3 linked regions of the Kluyveromyces lactis genome follow. The protein of the gene in region 1 interacts with the protein of each later gene in a pairwise test. Links are inferred from orthologs where the notes say so. Each region holds a gene or a part of one and is shown on either strand. Other genes may lie near its edges. The genes, in order: PDR12, YOR1 and SOP4.

What was found.
Region 2: the proteins of PDR12 (region 1) and YOR1 interact in a protein complementation assay, tested with the Saccharomyces cerevisiae proteins (2 studies listed by BioGRID). The link is inferred for Kluyveromyces lactis from reciprocal best matches to the Saccharomyces cerevisiae genes PDR12 and YOR1.
Region 3: the proteins of PDR12 (region 1) and SOP4 interact in a protein complementation assay, tested with the Saccharomyces cerevisiae proteins (2 studies listed by BioGRID). The link is inferred for Kluyveromyces lactis from reciprocal best matches to the Saccharomyces cerevisiae genes PDR12 and SOP4.

The regions. Positions count from the first base shown.
Region 1 is NC_006038.1:841,665-844,096, forward strand, and holds the end of PDR12 (ATP-binding cassette multidrug transporter PDR12), read right to left. Parts: coding exon 581-2,432; downstream 1-580. Other genes in the region: EXO5 (Exo5p), read right to left, coding at 1-154. UniProt on the Saccharomyces cerevisiae protein: Plasma membrane transporter which mediates resistance to water-soluble, monocarboxylic acids with chain lengths of from C1 to C7 by active extrusion of the preservative anions from the cytosol.
Region 2 is NC_006039.1:1,237,377-1,239,616, forward strand, and holds the end of YOR1 (ATP-binding cassette transporter YOR1), read left to right. Parts: coding exon 1-1,586; downstream 1,587-2,240. Other genes in the region: DNA-(apurinic or apyrimidinic site) lyase APN1, read left to right, coding at 1,997-2,240. UniProt on the Saccharomyces cerevisiae protein: Functions as a pleiotropic drug pump at the plasma membrane to clear toxic substances from the cytosol. Organic anion transporter involved in the detoxification of a wide range of toxic environmental organic anions that contain carboxyl groups.
Region 3 is NC_006038.1:665,673-668,235, reverse strand, and holds SOP4 (Sop4p), read right to left. Parts: upstream 1,348-2,563; coding exon 643-1,347; downstream 1-642. Other genes in the region: BPH1 (Bph1p), read right to left, coding at 1-373; KLLA0_B07623g (40S ribosomal protein uS11), read left to right, coding at 2,278-2,287. UniProt on the Saccharomyces cerevisiae protein: Involved in the export of PMA1, possibly through the monitoring or assisting of PMA1 folding and acquisition of competence to enter vesicles.

The sequences.
Region 1 (2,432 bases):
TGCTGCTGGAGGTAGTCTGTTTCACAGTAACTAATTTTAATGCAGAATCAATAGCCTTCAGATCATCTTTATTGAATTTTATAGATTGAAGGTCCTCTAATATCAAATGCGTGTTTCTTTTAATAGAGTACAACCGTAAAAATCGCCTTATCATAATTTGAGCTTTCTTCCTTGAACCCTGGCAGCAGGCGCAATGTTACCGCTCAAGCAGTTTCAACAACTGGTTATTCCGCTCTAAAGCAAATTTATTGTGGAGACAGAACTTTCTTATTGTTAAAAAAAGCAGACCCTAATTACGGCTTTAACACTCTTCCCAGTGTTCTTTAAGTACCTGAAAGATACCCTGTGGACATCATTTCAAAGTAGCGTGTATCTTCTTGAAGTTTCTTAAAAAATCATGATACGACATTTTGATATGTAGTTTCTCAAAATGCTCATTTAAGGTTTTAAGGCAATTATGTAGAATGAATATTGAATAAAGTGTAAAAGATTCTTAAATATTTATAAAGACGATAAATGAATAAAAAGATTGTAGAAATAAAATAGGTTTTCTATAGCGGAGTTACTGGGTAGGTAAGGATTAATTCTTGGTTCTATTGACATTTTCAGCATCTCCTGGTTTTTCTTGGAAAATAGTTGTGTCCTTTTCGTGTCTGTCCTTTGGTTTAATAGCATTCTTCCAAGTACCGATCTTGAAGATCTTGAAAATACTAGTAACGGAGTAGTTCTTCACTCTCATAACCCAGTAGCAGAACAACATTGCGAAGAAGTTGAAGATAATATATGCCCATAGGAAACCGAAATTTCTCCACCTATAGACCCATTTGACATTAAATCTTGCAACAACTTCTTGTTGGTAGCTGTATGGACAGTACTGACAGCTTTGTGTGTCATTTGGATTGGTCAAGTAACCAGTGTTATCTTCGATGTAAGTTGACAAGTATTCACCACATGTTTGACCTTCTGGTGGATCCATAACGGCGAATTCATTCCTGCCACAGACGACCTTTTTACCTTGAACAATTGGTGCGACTAACGATTGGACAACATAAGTGAATGGAGACACGTTGTACATGAATCTCTTCCAAAAACCAGGCATCTTTTCTCTTGGTTGCAAGATACCACAGAATAACAACATGGCAGCGAACAAGTTGGAGTTGATCATAGAAGCAGATGGCACATCTGGAGACATATAGAACACCCAACAACCGTAAGAGATAAAGTATGCAGGGAACATGATAACGTAAATCAAGAAGAAGTAACCAGCATGGGAAGCACGACCAGTGTATTGTGCTGGCCAATAGTAACAAATCCAACAGATAAATTCACAGGCGGTGGACCAGATGATTTCGACGGTACAGTGACATAACAACAATGCAGACCAATGGAAAGTGTTCGAAGCAGCTTCTCTGACTTCGTACAATTCTCTAGAATCCAAGGCAAACACATGCAATTGGTTAACCATAGCTAAGGCAATCAATAACATCATGAAAATAGATGCAAACGATTGATTGGCACCGGCAATCGAGTGGTTAACACCAACGTAAGACAAACCAACGAACAAAGCACACAGGACACATTCCAAGAATTTGGCTCTAATGTAGACTGGAGATCTCCAGAATTGAAGCCAAGTTCTTCCGAAAACACATTTCAATTGAGTCAAGTAGTTAGCAGCATACTTACCAGATAATTCCTTGTCATCAGTAACAGGTCTAGAAGCCAACTTTCTATGCAATTCTTCGACTTCTTCTCTGGCAGCTGCACACTCAGGAGATTTTAGCCATAGATCATGCCAGTCCTCTGAGGCAGAGGCAGTTGCACCAGCACCGATACAGTTTAACATATATTCAGCAGGATTTTCAGAGATACCACACTTAACACCAGATTGACGCTCGAAGTAGTTTAGCAAAGTACCGGAATTTTCACCGATGTCACCAAAGTACACCATCTTACCACCCTTCTTCAATAATAATAATCTATCGAATTGTTCGAATAAGGTAGCAGAAGGTTGATGGATAGTACACAAAATAGATTGACCAGAATCAGCCAAAGCTCTCATGAATTGAACAATAGACCAAGCAGATTGAGAATCTAGACCGGAGGTTGGTTCATCCAAAAACAATAGCAATGATGGTTTAGCGACCAATTCAACACCAATAGATAACTTCTTTCTTTGTTCGACATTCAAACCTCTACCGGTCTTACCAATGATAGCTTCAGCATACTTTTCCATACCCAACAAAGAGATGATCTTTTCGACGTAATCATACTTTTCTTGTAGTGGAACAGATTTTGGTTGTCTCAATTCAGCAGCGAATCTCAATGATTCTCTCACGGACAATTCACCCATATGGTTATCAGATTGAGCAACGTAACCACAGGATCTGTTGAAGGATAAAGGTAGATCCTTGGCGTTCACCAACATATCACCA
Region 2 (2,240 bases), on another chromosome or scaffold:
TTACTCAGTTCATCAGTATCGGTTTACTGGGTACATATGCCTCTAAGCATTTGAACATCAAGGCTCTACAACGTTTATTGCATGCTCCAATGAGCTTCATGGATGTCACTCCAATTGGTAGAGTTATGAACAGGTTCACTAAAGATACGGACACCTTAGACAACGAAATTACAGAGTCAGTCCGTTTATTGATTTTCCAGATCGCAAATCTCACTGGTATTATCATTTTGTGTATCATCTACATTCCTTGGTTTGCCATTGCCATGCCATTCTTAGTTTTCCTATATGTTTTCGTGGCTGATCACTATCAAGCGAGCGGTCGTGAAATCAAACGTATGGATGCTGTTCAGAGATCTTTTGTTTACAATAACTTCAACGAAGTTCTCGGAGGTATGGACACTATTAAAGCATACCGTAGCGAGCAACGATTTTTAATGAAATCCGATTTCTTAATCAACAAAATGAATGAAGCAGGATACTTGGTTACTAGTATTCAGAGATGGGTGGCGATCAGTCTAGACATGTTGGCTGTTATATTTGCTTTGATCATTGCATTACTTTGTGTTACTCGTCAGTTCCATGTCAGTGCAGGTTCGGTTGGTGTTATGGTAACTTACGTCTTGCAGTTGCCAGGTTTGTTGAATGCACTACTTCGTTCTCAAACTCAAACTGAAAATGACTTGAACAGTGCAGAGAGATTAGTAAACTATGCTTATGATTTGCCTATTGAAGCCAAATACAGAATATTAGAAACCCAGCCACCTGAACAGTGGCCATCTGAAGGTCGTATCAAATTTGAAAACGTTTCCTTGGCTTATAGACCTGAATTACCTGTGGCACTAAAAAATGTATCTATAGACATTGGCTCAAACGAAAAGATCGGTATTTGCGGTAGAACTGGTGCAGGTAAGTCTACCATTATGAGTGCGCTCTACCGACTAGTGGAATTAAAGACAGGTAAAATCACCATCGATGACATTGATATCAGCACTCTTGGTTTATATGAGCTTAGAAGCAAACTTGCAATCATTCCTCAAGATCCAGTTCTTTTCAAGGGTGATATTCGTAGAAATTTGGATCCATTCCAAGAGTGTACGGACGAACAACTTTGGGATGCATTGGTACGTGGGGGTGCTATCGACAGAAAAGACGTAGATTCCATCAGAGCGCAGCACAAAGATGCTAATGGACTTTCTGGTGATATGTTCAAATTCCATTTAGATCAGATGGTGGAGGATGATGGTTCCAACTTCTCCTTAGGCGAACGCCAATTATTGGCTTTGACCAGAGCCCTTGTGAGGGGATCAAAGATTTTAATTTTAGATGAGGCGACGTCATCTGTGGACTATGCAACGGATGCCAAAATTCAATCTCGTATTGTGGAAGAATTCTCCAACTGTACTATTTTATGTATTGCCCACCGTTTGAAGACTATCTTGGCTTACAACAGAATTCTTGTTTTAGATCAAGGGCAAGTCGTTGAGTTCGACACTCCTAAAAAATTGTACAATGACCGTGACTCTATATTCAATGAAATGTGTCGCGGTGCTGGTATTGTTCCTGCAGACTTCGAAAACTCAAAGTAATCTCCTGTATATATCATTATTTCTTTTGCATTACATTTTGTTGTTTGGTTTGGTGTGAACAGCATGTTTTCCAAAGACTTGCATTAGCATATATTTTCGGTAAGCAATGACTGCTTTCTATATATTTAATGAGCCTAAAATTTCTATCAGCCACAACGATCATTCATAGTTTAAAATCAATAATAAAACTTTACAAAACCATCAATCTTCTTTACCGTACTCCTAACATTCGAATAGTATTCCCTGTGTCTACGGCATACTATGTATTTTTCTTCTCTTCCGCACTTCCACTTATTCACCGTAGTGCACGTTTGTATAAGTATGGGAAATATTTAAAGGAAGAAATCTAATCAGAATTGAATTTGTCTATATTCTTGTTGCACATATTGAAATATCGCATACGAAAGTGCATGGAGACTTACTCATCACGTCGATACCTATCTAATCGAATGTCATTTGTCAGGTCTACGACTTCCAAATTTAAATTCGGTGCTCATGTCAGCGGTGCTGGTGGTATATCCAACAGCGTTACCAATGCCCATGAAATTGGCTGTAATTCGTTTGCAATGTTCTTGAAGTCGCCAAGACAATGGAATTCTAAACCGTATCCCGAATCAGAAATCACCAAGTTCAATGAGAACTGTGCAAAACTTT
Region 3 (2,563 bases), about 180 kb from region 1:
CATTTCCACGTAAGCGGGCTTTCACAAACGATTTCATGGCTGGATGTTTTGCAAAACTTTGTTTGTTCACTATTGAATTCTCAATGAGACATAATACTATATGCAAAGCGATAATGTAGCTCAATTCCGATGACTGATGAGATAAAAGCTTCTCCCACTTCGATGTGTCATCATATACAAAATTCAATTCCGTTGGCTCGATGTTATTAAACCTCTGGCTTATTTCAAACGTTGTGTATGTATATAGCTCATCTTTAGAGGCTGTATTTTCGTAAGAATTGCAAATATCACATAAAATAGATATCAGATCAGAATCATCCTCTGGAACCAAGTTAAGCACCTGAGCTAATAATGTAACGTACTCCTGGATCATTATATTACAAACGTCATTCCCTAGTATAATATTTTCTTAGCAGAAATTCAACTAATCTATAAGTGAGTGAACGTATTTTGGGTTTTTTTCGCCCTTACTATGATAAGTGTTTGTTCGTTTGTTTCTCAAGCTGTTTCCCTAATTTCTTAGCTGTTTATTTTTTTCATAGATAAAGTACAAAAACTAGGAAAGTGTGCAAAAGATGAATAAGATTTGCAAGATATTCGTAACTTATACAAGTGTAATACATACACCATTCAACGAAAAAGCTATTTTGAAACATATTTTGCGTTCTCTCTATGCATCTTCTCTTGTCTCATAGCTTTAGCAGTCTCAGGATCGAACTTCTCCAACAAAATAGGGAACAAAACTAAAAATATCACTGTCACGACGCCTGCTAGCTTGAATTTTGATCTTAAAACACTGGCAATGGGACCACTCTCGAGGATTCCAGGATTTCTTATCTTTATATATTTTCTGTATGGTTGTTTGTTCATCGTTGTTATTGTTAAACGGTTTGCAGAATCCAAGGGTAATGGATTCAAAGTTTCGGGATATGTAATATCTGGAGATGGGAAATACTCTCTGCCAAATCTGTTCTCAAAGGCGCTGAGGTTAGGTTCCTGATCTTGCCCGTTACCTACAATTTGTATCAGTATTCTGTTGGGTTTCAAATTGAATTCATTGGAATGCGAATGTAATGTGAAGTATGTCGTCCTATTGATACCAGTGTCAATGGGAACATCGCTGAAGGTGAATTCACCATTGATATTCTCCAATTTTGATGACTGTGAATATGAATCCCATTCCGAGTCATCATTGGGATTCCGTATCCTGTACAGGTTAAAATAGGTTCTCGATATATCATGTCTCGAAACGTTCCTAACTTTCAAATCTAGTCTGCCCTTAATATCGAATGCAGCACCTGGGTTTACGAACTGCCAAACTAGAAAGCAAAAAAGTACAAAATTCATCCCCGATTCTTTGGAGGAGTAAACTAATTGCCATACGTTAGTTCAGTCTCAGAGTATAGTGTTTTTACCGTTATCATTAACTTCTTTATGCGTCTTAGTTACCATTCGAGATTCATTTCCAGAAGAAAGAATAGTTACTAATATTATTACCCGGATTTATCTGACTTTTGAACTTTTTCATTTTGTTCGTTCAAGAAAATTTAGTATAAAAGATGAGAATAAGATGCATTATTATAAACAATACTATACAGTAAGTTGAGATACGTCCGTTTTGATCAGGTCATAAGAAAGCGTACATTCCTCAGAACAGGTATTATTGTAGTGGATTTGTGACTCTCCAGACAATATCTTCTCTACAACCTGGTTCGAGATTAAAGCTTTCAGTTTGAAAATGGCTGTCAATGTTTAATGGAGTGATCTATACTGCGAAAGATGTTTCCAACATTGTTCGTCTAGGACCAATTACTCATATGCATACAGCCCGACATCTCATTCCCTCCTTATCCATCTAGTAAACGTTCAATAGATGATATATACAGAAACTTGCGCCGTATAGTTTTCTCTTTCTCTCTTGTTGACATAGGTTCGCCAATCTAACAACCGTGGAGTTCTACAGTAATTTCGGGACTGTCTAATTTCTGAAACACCCAGACATTGTTGAAGAGGGATGGCTTTCATTACTTTTCGAATTTCATTTATGTTAAGAATTTCCTAATTTGTCAAGATAGAATGTGGAAAATGAATGGCAGACACATTTTTGCCAGATCGTAGGTTTCAATATCCAAAGGTCAGCTTCAATTTTTCATAGTAACAAATTGTCAATGATTTTAATGAATTTATCATTTATTACATGTATAAGCTTGGATATATCAACATTAACTTTATTATTGTTTAAGCTTAGACCTCAGAGACCAGAAAAACATATCAAGAATGGCTAACGGTACGTGCGAGGGGTGGTATCCCGTTTAAAACCCTTTAGTTGTTCTTCAAGAAAGGATGGATAAAAACCATTGGAAAAAGTATGGATTACTCTGATAAGTGTATTCGTGTGTGATTTTGCGGAGTCGTGTCGATGTTAGTTATCTGTAATGGATTGTAACGTTAACACTTTCTTCAATCTCAATAGTGCTATCTCAAACAGTATTTTAGTGATGATGCAACGACAAGAAGGAGGAAGTACCCAAGTTGAGTAGGTGTTTCACCACAGAATCTCAGG